Canis lupus familiaris: one gene and its partner. The protein of the gene in region 1 interacts with the protein of each later gene in a pairwise test. Links are inferred from orthologs where the notes say so. Each region holds a gene or a part of one and is shown in the gene's direction. Other genes may lie near its edges.

Evidence for each region.
Region 2: the proteins of OTX1 (region 1) and VWC2L interact in binary tests that used the Homo sapiens proteins (3 or more experiments, as listed by UniProt). The two-hybrid records come from large-scale screens. The link is inferred for Canis lupus familiaris from reciprocal best matches to the Homo sapiens genes OTX1 and VWC2L.

The regions. Positions count from the first base shown.
Region 1 is NC_049231.1:64,118,138-64,125,626, forward strand, and holds the start of OTX1 (homeobox protein OTX1), read left to right. Parts: upstream 1-2,873; 5' UTR 2,874-2,985; intron 2,986-3,351; 5' UTR 3,352-3,420; intron 3,421-4,631; exon of another isoform or gene 4,632-5,033; 5' UTR 5,034-5,143; coding exon 5,144-5,240; intron 5,241-6,132; coding exon 6,133-6,284; intron 6,285-7,454; coding exon 7,455-7,489. UniProt on the Homo sapiens protein: Probably plays a role in the development of the brain and the sense organs. Can bind to the BCD target sequence (BTS): 5'-TCTAATCCC-3'.
Region 2 is NC_049258.1:21,553,557-21,561,138, forward strand, and holds the start of VWC2L (von Willebrand factor C domain-containing protein 2-like), read left to right. Parts: upstream 1-2,569; 5' UTR 2,570-3,739; intron 3,740-6,057; 5' UTR 6,058-6,137; coding exon 6,138-6,527; intron 6,528-7,582. Other genes in the region: SPAG16 (sperm-associated antigen 16 protein), read left to right, coding at 2,079-2,254.

The DNA.
Region 1 (7,489 bases):
CGCCGCGGGAAAGGCCCGGGGGTCGCGGCGGCGGCGGCGGCGGCGGAGGAGCGCGGCGGGCGGGCGGCGGGCGGCGGGCGGCGGGCTGCGCGCGGAACTTCCGCCCCTGGCCGGGATCCCGCGACCCCGGAGCCAAACCCCTCCCCCCGTCCCAGGTGTCCCCCGGGCCTGGCCGGGCCTCGAGGTCACCTCGGGGCTGGCTCCGGGGCCCGGCGCGCCCCCCCCCCCCGCCCCGGCCCGGCCCCGGGGCCCGGCGCTGCGCGGACGCGCCCTCCCCGCCTGCGGCCGCCGCTCCTGGCCCGGCGTCTCCCACCTGGACACTTGCCTGGCGACCGACGGCCGCCGCCGTCCTCCGCGCCGCGTGCAAGAAACTTTCATCCCAGTCCCTCTTCCTCCCTGCACTCCTCCCTCTCCCTCTCTTTCTTTTCTTAATCCCGGGGTTTTACGGGCTGAGCATTAAGAAAATTCTCCTGCAATTTGGGATTAGATAAATATGCTCATTAGAGGGGCGCGCGGGGGGGGACCTGTGCTACTCGATACGTCCCAACTTCCCCGAGACCGCGGCAGCATCTGGAGCGAGAGCGCCGGCCGCCCGCGAGGCGGGCCCTGGGGACCGCCGGGCACATTCCTGCGCGCACGGCCGCCCCGCCGCAGCCGCCGGCGGCTCGGGGCCCGGACGGGGCAGGCGCGCGACGGGTGGCGGGGCCGCGACCGGGGCACGCGGCCGGGGCCCGGAGGGCTGCGCCGGGGCCCGGGGCGCGCAGGCCGGGCCGGGCCGGGCCGGGCTGGGCCGGGGACGCCCGCGGGGACCTCCCCGCGAACCCGGGGCCCTCCTGCCCGCGCCTCTCCCCAGAACCGCAGGCGGGTGCGCCTCACTCCTTCCTCCAGGCGCCTGCCCGTCGCGGGGGCTGCGCCCAGGGGGCCTCAGAGGACCTAGGACTTGTGTCCCCGCCCGGGTCAGCGCTGCGCTCTGCGCAGTTTCTTTTCCTCTTAAAGCTTTTTCTTTCCTGTGGTTTTTTTTTTTTTTCTCCCTTTTCTCTCGTTCTTTTATTGTTTTCTCTCTCTCTCTCTCTCTCCTCCCTCTGTGTGTGTGTGTGTGTGTGTGTGTGTGTGTGTGTGTGTCTTTCTTTCCCTTTTGTGAATGGGCTGCGGTGTCTTTGTTCTGGAGAGAAGCGCCCGTGTCGCTGACTTTTGTGAACCAGAGAAGGATCTTGTAAAACCTCCTTTTCTCCTTCATACTCGCCCACTCCCACCCCTCCTCCTCTGCCCCTTTGATTAGATGTTCCCTCATCGTACCCCCCCCCCAACAAAAAAAAAATGTAATTTCGTTGGTCTGGCGGCCACTTTCTTTGAACATTAGCTCGCTTTCAGCTCCAACTTCAATTAGAAGGAGTTGATTTTGAGAGATCAACAAAAGAACCGACCAAAGCCTTATTAAAGGTCCTAAGAAGATCTCCCGGGTCCTTTGAGAAGCAGTTAAGGAAACAGTGTGCCCTCCATCATATTCTGTTACCGTATTTTATTCGGGCTCCAAAGGAAAGTGTCGCTTGGGGGGAGGGGGAAGTACTTTGATGAGCGGCGGCCTCGGCCCCTTTTGACTGCGGGGCGCCCCCTTCCTCTCCTCCTCCTCCTCCTCGCCCCAGCCCCGTCCGCTCGGGGGCCCGACCTCGCGGCCCGGCGGCGGGCGCTCCCACGGCGCGGCGCCCCGCGGCTCCCGGACTCGCCCTCGCGCTCACTCCTGCTCAAACTTTTCACTCCGCCTGTTGGGATGGAGGGGAGGGGGGACTAGGGAAGCCGGGGAGGAATTCCTCGAAAGGGACCCAAGTGGTGCCTAATACTCAGAAGGAGGTGCCACCTAAGAGGAACCGCCTGGCTCAAGGTTGGGGCGAAACCCTTTTGGGGGGGTGGGGGCGGGGGGCGCCTGGAGACGTCCAGCAGGTACGCGGGCTCCAGAAGTTAGTTCGGCTGGGAAATGGGCTTCGCCAGTACGAACAATCCGGGGAGACGGCCCCGAGGAGGCTCCCTCTGCGGCGCGGGAGGAGGAGACGGAGGCCGGGGGTCTGTGGCCGCGTCTGCCGCCCCCGCCCCCGCCCCCGCCCCCGGTGCAGGGCGCCCGCGAAGGAGGCGGGGTGCGGAAGGGAAAGTTTCCCGTTAAGACCTCCCGGGGCAGGAGGAGAGCGGGCGCCTTAAGGGGGCAGGAGCCGCGGGGCTCCAACGCCCGGGGAGACGCGCCGAGGACGGGCGCGCGGGCCCCGGGGGACGCGCAGCAGCGGGGGAGCGGCGGGGCCTCCCCCGCGGGGGCCGAGCGGGCCAGGCGGGGTCCGCGCCCCCCGCCGCCCCCGGCCCCCGCGCCCGCCGCGTCCGTCCGCAGGTGGCGGCGCGGGGAAGGCGGCCGCTGGGGCCCGGGGCGCCGCCCGGGGGGAGCCGGGGGGGCCCCCACTGCCCTGCAGCCCGCGGCCCCGGACTCCTCGAGCGCACAGCCCCGCCGCCGAGCCGGGTGGCGCGCGGGAGAGCCCGGGAACCGGTTCCCCGGCCCCGCGTCTCCTCTCCGCCACTCCCTCGCGGGCGCCGACAGGGCGAGCGAAGGGCGGGGACCCCCCCCCCCGGGCCGGCCTCGGGCCCCGCGTCCCCCCTCCGCCGACGGGCCCTGGCGCTGCGGCCGCTGTCCTCGCCTCGCTCTGCGCCGCGTTTGTCAGCCCAGCCCTGGAGTTAGCGCGCGCCCGGGGCGGGGCGGGCGGGCGCCGAGGGCGGGGTGCAGGGGGCGGAGGAGGGCGGGGGCGCGCGGAGGTAACCCCCGGCTCGGGCTGCCATTGCCCGGCTCGCTGTCACTCAGCCCGCGCGGGGCCGGGGATTGGCAGCACGGCCCCGTTACGCACTCACCTCGCGTTCACATACCCGGGGAGGGCAGTAGAAAGGTGATCAATCTTCATCAGGCTACATTTCCAATCACCTAAACAACCCGGCAAGACAAGCCACTCCGACAAGGTAAATCGCTTGATTTATTTAGTTCGCAAAGTGCCTCGGCGGGACTCCCCTGGCCCCCGCCGCCTCCGCGCTGCACCCGGACTGCAACTGCAGCCTCGAGCCGCCCCCCAACGCTGCCCCTCTCACCCCCCACCCGCCTACCCCTTGCGGCCCCTCGGCGCGGTCCCGGGCGACGTGGTGTCTCGGGGACGCGTAGGGCTTTGCAAACAAAGTGTCTGTGCAATAAAGTGAAACCTGGAGGGACCCGCACAAAGCCACCGGGAAGAAAGAGAAGGCAGGAGGGAAGTTGGGGAAAGCAAGAACCCCGGGGAGCCGGGACCCGCCGTCCGGCCCGGCGAGTAACCCCCGCGCCCTCTGTCTTTGCAGGTCGGCTGCCCCGCGGGCCTGCGCGAGGGCGCGAGGTAGATGGTGAGCGGCCCCGGCAGCCGAGGGCAGGTAAGCAGACAGCCGCGGGGCCGCCCTGGCTCCGGGAGCGCGCCGCCTGCTCCCACCCCGGCCCCCGAGCCGGTCCCCGCTTCCCAGGTCCCCGGCAGGTGGGCGGGGCTGGGGGGCGGCCTGGCTCCCCTCCCGGCGCGCGGAGGACCCCCGATCCCCGCCGCGGCCCCGCGGCCCCTCCCCCGCCTCCTCCGAAGTCAGCGAGCTCAAGTGCTAAGTTTGAAGAAAGTCTCTGGAAACTCACGCTGCAGCTCGGCAGAGGCGCGGCGGCCCGGCGTGCCCCCCTCTCTCTGGGCCCCGGAGCCCCGGGCTGCCCCTCCTTCGCCCCCCTTTCCCTGCCAGCTGGGGTCCGCCAGCCCAGACCGTGGGGCCTGGAGGAGGGGCGCGGGAGGCCGCCCCGGCTCTCCCCGCCCTCCCCGAACTCCCCAGCCCGGCCCCGGGCCTGCTTTGAATCCCCCGCGACGCGGGGTGCAGCGCAGGGTCCCCCGGGGCCGCGGCCGCGCCCCCCAGCTCCACTCCCTGCCCCTGCGAACGGCGCCGCGGGGGGAGGCGAGCGGGGAGCCGGGCTTCGACCTGGCGGCCCGGGTCAGCCGAGCTGCGCCGCCGAGGCCTAGTCGCGTCGGCCCTGGGCAGGGTCCTGGGCCGCGGGCCGGGCGGGCGGGATAGGCCGGGAGCACGCGGGGGCGCGGCGCCCGGGCCTCCCCGATCCGCGACCCCTCGGGGCGCCGGGCGGGCCGCCCTCCGGCCTCCGCCCGGGCCGCGCTGTCCGCAGCCAGCAGCCAGCAGCCAGCAGCGGGCAGAAAGCAGCGGCGGCGGGCGTTGTCGGGGAGGGGGCCTGCGGCGGGGCCTGGGCGCCCCTGACCCCCCGCCGCGCCCTGGAGCCCCCGCGGCCCCCGCGTCCGCGTCTCCTGGCCGCCGTGGGCCCGGGCCTGTTACTGTGGCCCAGGTGTGCTGGGCTCCCCGGGGAGCGGCCTCTCCGCGGCCGGGCGCAGGGAGGTCAACTGGCAGGGTGGCCGTGGGCTCGGGGGCCCAGACCCAGCGGGGACACCCTTGCAGGAGCGCACCCTAAGTGGGCCCTGCCACCCGGAGAGGCCCAGGTGCCGCTAGCCTCCCGCGGCGCCTCACCTTAGCTCTCCCCGACCCTCCACCTTTTCATCCCGCTTTTCAAAAACATTTTGAAACGAAACGAAACAACCTCTGGTGCCCTGGGCAGCCTGCCTCACTGGCGCCGAGTAAACGTTTGCTCTTGCAGTATGGAGGCCGGCTCCTACCCGACCAGAATTTGGCCTAGACTTGGGACCTTGCACGCCGGGCGTTTTAGGCCCTCACTTTCCAGCTTGGCCCTGCTTTTAGCCTCTCCGCACTCCTAGCGACGCCCTACGAGGGTCTTTTACCCATTCCACGCCTGAGAAGAGGCGATGACGATCCAGAAAAGCTGACTTTTCAAAGAAGCTGTGGTCTTCCGGCCAAGGCCTTGTAGAGCCAAGCTGACCGCCCTTCCGAGTTCCGCAGGCCTGCGTGCCCTCCCCAGCCCCCGGCTGCTCGCCTCCGACGAGACCAGGAAACCGAGATGGCTCCCAGTCACTGTTTACCTGTGTCTCCTGTCTCCATAGGCCGGGCCCCCCGACGCAGCAGAGTTTGAAGGACTGCGCAGTGGGAGCCCCGCACTGCGCCTGGCCCCGGCCCCCTGGATCCGTCCGGGCGCCTCCACCCGGCTGTTAGCATGATGTCTTACCTCAAACAACCCCCATATGGCATGAACGGGCTGGGCCTGGCCGGGCCAGCCATGGACCTCCTGCACCCTTCCGTGGGCTACCCGGGTGAGCACCAGTCCCTGCCCCCAGCCCCTGCAAATCTTGGGGACGCCCAGACTCTTGAGTTTGAGCGCACACTCGGTGTCTGAGCAGGCCCGGGGAGTGGGATGGCGGGTCTGCCTGCAGTGCTCTGCACGCCGCAGGCTCACAGGGCAGTGGCGGGTGCATGAGGCAGGCCAGGCCAGTGAAGCTGGGCAATCTGTCTCTTGTGGTCCCACCACCAGCACAGGGCCCACTTACCCAAGGATTCGTTTCTCATGGGTGGCTTTTTTGGGGTGTGTGTGTGTGTGTGAATCTATTCCTTTCCTCCCAATGTTGAAAGAGAGATTTGGACACTCTCTAGGCCCTGACAGGAAGGGCCAGGCTTTTCTTATGAGAAGTGACTGGCTGAGACGAAGAAGAGGGGCTCTCCCTCCCTAATTGAATTGTCCTCTACATCCGCTGTCTGCACCAACTTTTGCACCGTGGATGTGGAAGGCTTGAGCCGCCTCCTCCCCGCCCCAGCTCCCGCTCCTTCATCTCCACTTGTTCCCTCGGAAAGCGTTTTCCAGGTGGTGTGTCTGCGCACCCCTTTCCCATCCTCCAGCCAGGGGATGTGTTGGGGGGGAGGTGGTGAAAGAAGGGGGATTGTATAACTTCTTTTCCTTTCTTAACCTCCGAGAGGCAGGGAAGGGGGCAATTCTGGAGTCTTGACGACACTGGTTCCCAGTCGCACACATGCACTTTCTCCCACCTGTGGCCTCTCAGGCTCGGCCTCCTGGGGGAGTTTTCTTTCGCTTGGAGCTTGGCTTGCTTTTGCAACGGCCTCGCACAGAGCCCTGCCGGGGGCCTGTCTGCGTCGTCTAGCGCGGTCCGCGTGGCCACCGCTGACCCGAGGCGCCCCCGCGTGTCCCCTCAGCCACCCCGCGGAAGCAGCGGCGGGAGCGCACCACCTTTACACGCTCGCAGCTGGACGTGCTGGAGGCGCTCTTCGCCAAGACTCGCTACCCTGACATCTTCATGCGCGAGGAGGTGGCGCTCAAGATCAACCTGCCGGAGTCCAGAGTCCAGGTGCGCGTGCCCAGGGCTCCGGAGCCGGGCCGGGCCCTGGGGCAGCGGGCCGGGGAGGGTCGGGACGGCGGCGGGCGGCGGGCGGTGGGGCGGTGGGGCGGTGGGGCGGTGGGGCGGGCCCGCGGCTGGCCAGGCCCTCTCCGACTCCCCCTAGCGCCCGGCCCGGCCCGGCCCGGCGAGGGGCCCCGCTGGAGGGCCCGCTCCGAGCCCTGCCCTGGCCGCCTCCCGCGGCCGCCTGCAGCTGGGAGTCCTCAGGCTGTCGGGAGGGCAGGCGGGGCTCCCGAGCGCCAGGCGCCCGGGGTGCGGAGTTGGGCCTCCGCCCTCGCCCCGCGTCCCCGGGATCCTGGAGGCGGCCGAGAGGGGCTTGGCCGGAGCCTGGCGCCCTGTCGGGGCGCGCCCCCGGGGGTGGCGCAGGTTTGGGGAGACGCTCCCTTCGCCCCGAGAGGATGCCAAACGCAAAACCCGGCTACGGGCCTTGCTTCTGATTTTTTGCGATAAAAGTCCTGTTTGGATTATAACTCCGACCTCTCCTCAAGGGCCTTTTATCTCGCCTCCCTTGCCCTCGAGGCCCGGGAAAGAACCGGGAGAACGCCCTAGCCCTGTGCCGGGGCCCTCCAAGGGGCGTGAGAACTTTGTGCCACTTGGCTCCCCACTTGGAGCCAAGACGCCCAACGAAACTGTGCTCGGGCTTGCTCCCGGGGCGCCCCGAGGGCACGGCCTCTGGTCGGCCTCCCCGCCTGCCGCCGCCGCCGCCCAAATTCCCGCCTGGCCCAGGCCGGGGCCTCCGGGCCCCGGCTGGCTCCCCCTCGGACGCGGTGGCCGCCCCGCCCCGCCCCGCGGTGCCCCTCGCGCCTCCGCCGCGTCGTGCGCCCTGTTCAGAGAGGACGGGCCTCCCCGCGTGCGCGGGGCTGTTGGGGAGCGGCCAGCAGCAGCAGCAGCAGCAGCTCAGAGATGCCTGGACTTCTGGCTGGACGGACGCGGACGTCCCGCCCGGGGGCGGACTCGCGCTGGGGGTGGGGAGGTGCACAGCCCCACTTCCCGGAGGATCTTCCACCAGGAGGATGGGGCGGGTGGCGGAGCTGGGCCCGCGGGGCGGGGGCTGGCCCGGCCGGGCGGCGCGCGAGCCCCGGGGGCCCCCTGACCCGCTCTTCCCTCCTCGGGCCGCTGCAGGTCTGGTTCAAGAACCGCCGCGCCAAATGCCGCCA
Region 2 (7,582 bases), on another chromosome or scaffold:
ATAAATTTATACACATTTTAGGAATAAGTTATTATATACATAATCATTATCTTGCAATCTTCTGTAAATGAGTTAGTTCAAGTAAACATAAAAAACTTCACCATAAAGTTACTAAAATCTGTTCGATAGAAGACAAATTTTTGAAATACCTGAGGCATGATGCTGAATTATATAATCCCATCATTAGGTTCTAGTATATATTCTCTATTTTATTGGACTTTCAGAAATTACCAAGAACCTTCATAAGTGTTTCCAATTATGATTTTTACAGATTTGACTTCAACAAAAGATAATGGTTTAAAGCTAAATCTCTTCTTTTTCTTTATGAGCCTTGATTCTGTTTCCTTTCAAAAATAGAAAATAACATTTACCTCCTTCCTATCTGTTGCACGAAGACCACAAGAAAAAAGTTACTTGTTTGACTCTTAGGAAAGTCACAAACAGCAATTGTCTATAGAGTGAGACTAGAAGTGGAATCCATATGTAATGCCTCTGTCAGCAAAGACTTAGTAGAAGAAGGTTTATAATAAATATTCACATCTGCTTCTTTGGACACTCTAATCCATCCTAAGGATCTTTGCTGTGTCAGGTTTTGTTCTAGATGAAGAAGCCCAGTAGTTATAAAGGTTTGTAAATAGACTATATTTATCATGGTTAGCTTTACTTTTATAACTTTTTTAAAATTTTTTTTATTTTTTACTTTGATAACTTTTCTGTTTTTAAAATATTCATGACATTTTGGTGTATAATTTGTGATTAAATATTTCACTGTGACTTTTATGGCAATATCATTAAAGAATTTTTTACTATGAAACAGGCAAATTTTATTTTCACAATATATCACCTACTTAAAATCTATCAATAAGGCATCATTGATAACAATCCTATGCTGGATGTGAAAACACAATGACTTAAAGCCCAGGCTATTTAAAGTGATTGTGATTTAATGATAGTTCCCTTCATACCGAATATACCTCCTCTTGAGCAAGATACTTCACCTTTCTAAACCTCTCTTTGTTCATCCATATAATGAAGTTAATATTATTTTATCATTATATTCTTGTAAAGATTATATGCAACTATTCACATCAGGTACAAAATCAATTGACATATACTGTTTAATCAATTTTAAATGTCATTACTGGAATGATAATATGCCTTCTAAGTATGATTAGATAATCCCATAGATAGCCCTAGTATCATACTTATTTACCCCACATACTGACTTTATGTAAACGTATTTCATTAGTTTTACTTACCTCTAAATTCCCTGATAGTTTGTTACCAGACTTCTTTAATAAAAGCATTAGAATTGGGCTGCTGATATGTTTTTAACTTGAAGGAAATTATTCACTAAAAATTATACAGTATAAAAATTATGAGAATACTCTGTGCTATATTTAGCTCTTATGTAATATAAACTTAGTTTAACAGAATTTTGAATTTTAAATTAGAGTAAAAAAGCCTAAGTCATCCTTGAACTGGAGGTATTTATTTTCACTTCAACTCCAAAAAAGGTTCATAAGTGTCATAATAAATGTATATTATTATACCTAAATAAAGATTTAGCATAATTACAAGTTAAAGTATAATGCAAAATTTAAAATGTAAATTATCCATTATATAGGGACAGAGATTTTGAACCTATGCTTTGGACATCTTTTCACAAATAATTCACTTGAAAAACAAACCTGCATCGCTTCATTGCTTTCACACTCATTTTCTCAAAATTATTTATTAATCCCAAATATAAGGAGATTAGGAGGGCATTTGATAAAGTGGGTGGGACATTAGGTTTCACTTCCTCATTTTAAAATTTTACAATCTTATTGACATGTCTTAATTTTGCCTGGAATTATTTCCTATACAAATGAGTTAGCTCATATTTAATGACTGACATCTAATATGAGTCTGTTAAATTACATTTGAGACAAAACTGTGTATTTCATTGCTTATAAACTATGACTGCCTGAAATTAAACTTTGATATTCTCTCTCACTCTCTCTCTCTCCTCTCTCTTTCTTCCTCTCCCTCTCCCCCTCCCTCCCTTTCTCCCTCCCTCCCTCCCTCTTTCTCAGGTCGAGTTTTAGCTCAGGCGAGTGGCAGTGGGGTTATCCATTTGCTAGATCTTAAATCAGGGCAAATCCACAAATTGATGGGCCATGATAGTGAGGCTCACACAGTCGTGTTTTCTCATGACGGAGAGTATTTGTTTTCCGGAGGCTCTGACGGCACTGTTCGAACGTGGTCTTGATGGTCAGCATATCCCACTGCGGACGGCATTCCCTTTAAGGCTTGAAAATACCTTGGGTAGTCAGTCTCAAACCAGGAAGTATCTGGTTAAATATGCCAGCAGGTAACATTTACAATTTGCTTTAAAACATGCTTTGGACATGTATTTTAGTGCTCATACTGACACCAATAAAAAAATAAAAAAAAACACAACTTTTTGCTCATTTGTGTCTGGTTCTCTTTTTCTTCATTTTGATAAGAATTTAGAGACAGAGCATCTTTGCTAGGGGTTTGAAAGAAACAGCTTTACAATGACGCCTAATGACAGACTAGATGAATTACAGGAGATTGATTTTGAATGTTAGAGAACAAACTGCAGGAGAACAGGGCTACTTTTTTTTTTTTTTTTTAAATCGAATCCAAGCTGCAGGAAGACCTGAAGTTTAATCATATAGCATGGAGAAAGTCTTTCTGCAACAAAAGGGTCAAATAGAATCGAGGAGCGTACATGTTCACAGATTCTTTGACAATGATCATGCTTTATCTATTAATAATCATCAAGACTGCAGATGGCTTAAATCTAAATGCAATGCTCTTCCAGAACTTTCATCTCTGCAGCCCATCTAAGAATGCATTAGGTATAATTACAATGTTTTGTATTTTTTGTTGTAATTTCAATGCCAATAAGTATCTCGTGTGTAAAATGTCTTTCCCACTCCTAATGCATGCGTCGGCTGTATAAAGTGCGACTGCTTTAGAGAACACTCTAGCCTGGTCTAAAGAAGCAGCTCCGGATTTCGGATTTCACCGAGCTGGGCTCAGAAGCCAGTTGTTGGCGCTGTCCGTGGTGCTGAGGAATTCCCGGCTGCCGGCGAATGAGCTCCAAATCAGCAGTCTGCAAACTGCTCTCAGTGATGCAGAAACCCAGCTAAAGTTGCTCCTTTCCTTCACGTCCACAGTTAGTATTTTCTGGTGTGTAAGAGGGGATTCAAGCAACATATTGTGGATGATGCTGATGGTACTGCCAGCGGAGTGGGCTTTAAGCTACAGCATGCTATTGCTGTTTGTGATCCTCAGAGCCTAGCCAAATCACCTCTACTGCCGTACCAAACACTGTGTAAGTGAACTCATGTGTGGAGGAGGCGTAATCAGCCGGTAAATTTCATAGAAGGATCTGAGAAAATGCTAAAAATAAGTTCAACATGATTCTGCTACTGGGGTCTGGATTTCTACAGGACCAGCATTGCTTCTTGCTTTGAATTCTGAAGACAGGTCCAAAGCATATTTCTTATGTGTGTCTGCTGTGTTTCTCTCTGGAAGGGCGGGAGACTGCTTCTTGACTGTGTTTTGAAATGGGAGGTAGAAAGAATGGATTACCTTTAATTCGTGCCTGAAAATGTATTCTTTGGATAACTAAAGAGGAACTGCTTTCCTAAAACATACCTGATGTTTTAGTTCGTATTGGTCTATGACTCCCACCACCACCATTAACCTCCAGAGTGATTAGGTAAGTGTATCTTATGACATGAGTTATGTTTGTTTTCTCAAAGAAATAGATGCAGTTATTTTAAATCATATGTAAAAATATAGGGAGGGGGGAAAGTTTAGCTGGAAAGTGGTCCTCAGTTTAGCAGTGTTTGCTTACTTAATAAAAATCTTCAGATAAACATTTTATTTCATTTCTCTAATATTTCTTCTCTTAAATAGTGTTTTTAACTACACTAGAGCAGCTCTATTATGAAAAGGGATTTTTTAATAGCCTAAGAACTTTGTTATATTGAAAAGAAAACCTTGTTTTCTCCATGCAGATTTAAAAATGTATTTCATATAATAAAAGCATGTTTAAGGTTTATATAAAGTAGACATTATACCCCTATTTTTATCTTTAAGTTTACATTTATCACAACTTGATATATTAATGCCTACCTGTAGCTTGCAAAGAGATCAATTTCTGTCTATGTCCTTTTGAAGCAGAATGATATGTGTCTTTTATATGGCTTATCTTGCATGTATTGGCAGACACTGCTGGAATACTATAAGGAAGCACAATAGATTCCTTTCTTCCAAGATAAACTTTCTAAATATGTGAGAGATGTATAAATGCATGGTTTAATCAGTAAAATATATATTTATGCTTTTTTCAGAAGCTTCTGTTATGTTTGTGGCCTCTGTAGTAATTTAAGAGAAAAAAATGCTTTGTCAAAGGGAGCTTCCAGCTTCTCAAGTAGAATTATAGGTTTGCATTTTTTTTGTTCTGTCATGACTCATTATTTTTGACATATTTTAAAATAAATCTCTCTCTTTTATCATTACCTACCCAAAAGGAATTCTAATATGAGAGAGCAGTTTTCTCTTAAAGGAGGGCATAAATATACTACCTTCCATTTTACTATTACTTTGCATAAGATAATTTGCATATCTTACTTAAAATGCAAATATAATAGTTGATGAAGTATCCTTATGTCATCTTTATCATGTTTTTAAATGATCACCTGTATATGCTATACTGAAAAGGGATGATTTATCATTACTCATTATATTCTGAAAATATACCAACAAATATCATTTATAAATTATCTGAGAATGTCCTATATACAGTCTGAGCAACATTGGCATAAAGCCAATAGCATTTAGATAGATAAATGAACTATCCGACAACACTTTTTCTTACCTATTAGTGTCTAAAGTCACAGTTTCCCCAAAGCCTTTGTATGAGTTAGTCACCCTAAACATTTAAATAAGAGCCCACTACTAACACTCCACACCAAGCACTAACACTAAGTGAAGCTTTTAAGAGTCAATGTCACTAAATTAATCATACATATTTTCTGTGAAAGGCAACACCTCATCATTACTTTAAGGAATTTCAATAAATAGTTTTGTATTGGCATTTTTGTGCAAATTGACCAAATGCAAATATGTTTGGGATGTCAAAAAGAAAGGTATATCCTCAAGACTATGTGAATGGTATATATTTTACATTGAAGTAATTAATTCAAATAGCATTCCATAAATACTAGATTCAAATTGCCATTAAAAAAAAATCTCAGGTGCATCTTTCCTGCCCACTAGGAGCTTACTTCCTGAGTAAAATAAAGTTGTGGACAATGATACAAATAAATTTATTTTTAGTAAATCCTTTTCAATACATGGAGTTCTCTTGCACTATTATTTAAATTTTTCTCTTATTCACTGTGGAATGGTTGTACTAGTTTTCTTAATAGCTATGTTCCAAAATCCATATTTATGGTTTCTGAAACAAGAAATACATTTGAGACCACTGCTATTCTCCAGTTATGGGAGTGAAGTAGGAAGACCTTTATACTAGCTCATCTCAATTATAATTTATATTAGACTATTGGTCTCTTCTCTTTCTTTTAGAAGTAGATGTTTTCTCACTAATCTCTTAGTTTTTATACAGATAATTATATCATATACATTCTATCACTGACTAATCCAGCTTAAGGAATAATAGAGAATGTGGATTCCAACATTCTTGAGCCATCTGTAACTACTGTAATCACCTTTTGAGGCTCAGTAAAACCACTTCTACAATTTAAACAAAGCCAAACCTTGGAAATTCAGAGGGTAAATCTGAGCTTACGATTCCTAGGTGGAATAAAGGACAAATTTTAATGCATGTATTGCCAAGAATAAACTCCCCAAACTTCATAAGAAGCATAGATAGTTGCATGAACTTAGTCTATTTGAGGTCTGAGTGTCTTCCAGACAGATCCCAAATAAACAGATTAAGAACAAGGGCTTACGTAAATCCATATTCTCTCTATATATGTCAAATTCTTCTTTTTAAATATTTATTTTCAGCCTACCCCTCTTGTATTCCCATGGAAGGAGCTGAGTATATTTAATATTAGGAGCACATCCAGAAGCCTTTGAGGAGGGGGATGGCTCTTCATATTCATGAAGCTTGCATACTTCTGTTGGTCATCCTTGGATCAGTCACCTCTGCTGCCATCAGTCATGAAGACTACCCTGCTGATGAAGGTGACCAGACCTCCAGTAATGACAATCTGATCTTTGATGACTATCGAGGGAAAGGGTGTGTGGATGACAGCGGCTTTGTATACAAGTTGGGAGAACGCTTTTTCCCAGGGCATTCCAACTGTCCATGTGTCTGTGCTCTGGATGGACCTGTTTGTGACCAGCCAGAATGCCCTAAAATTCACCCAAAGTGTACTAAAGTGGAACACAATGGATGCTGCCCTGAGTGCAAAGAAGTGAAAAACTTTTGTGAATATCATGGGAAAAATTACAAAATCTTGGAGGAATTTAAGGTATGAGTTACCCTCCATATTCATTCAATACTAATCTTTCACACCATGTATTTCATAGATTACTACATTAAAATTAGAGTTGGAAAAAGTTACTTTTAAATTACCCCTTAACTTACGGTATTGTGATTTCAGTTAGCCTGCGTACCGCTGTGGTCAACAAAGAACCAACTGGCTTGTTGATAGGTGTCTTGAAGGTTTCACGATAACCTCCTCCTTCAGAAGTATTCTGGGCATGCTTAACATCTTTTATTGCCCTCAATCATTTCCTTTGTGTTATTACAAAATATGTTTTCTGAGGGAAATAATTATGTTTATAGATCATGTGTTTATTTAAAGCTAATGTTTAAATATTGTAAGATCTTTTTACGTGTGTGTGGCTTATAAGCCTGTATTGGGAGTCATTTAACTATGGTCTAGAATTCTATTTAGTATGTGGAAATGCAAGTGCTAAGGAGACACACTTCTGAGCTGTGGTCTATATATTAAGAATATGCATTGGGCCTACTTGTTATAGAGCACCATCCCCATTCTGTTCTCTGCTCATTAGATTTTTTTACTTGCAGGCCCCCAAAGAGAACTGAATTTTTGTCCTAGTTTGTTGTCAAAGGTATTAAAAAGGGGGAGGTACTATTATTCCAGCTTCCATAGTATTTCATAATCTTTCTTTTTTGCTTATGTCATATTTTCAAGTAATTTGGAGTTCATTTTTATCTCTGCTTTGAGTCTCTTTTCTCAAACAGCTAGTTGTAATTAGGATGTCCTACAAACCAGATCTGAACCCTGAGGGTATAAATTATTGTATCAGAATGTTCCCCTTAAATGTAATGGCAGTTTGTGCCTTGGAGTGGCTGTCATACTGATGGCTTGATATGAAAAATTTTCATTTCATCTAACCAAGTTCTGTGAAAGGTGTTCAGAATCTTATAAGCAAAAGAAGATATAGCTAGTTTTCAGTGTCACTGTTCAGAAGAATGTTCAGTTGTTAGCACTAACCCAACTCCCTTCTTTACAAGAGTCAAATGCTGGAAGAAATCAATATGTGGGGGGGGAAAGGT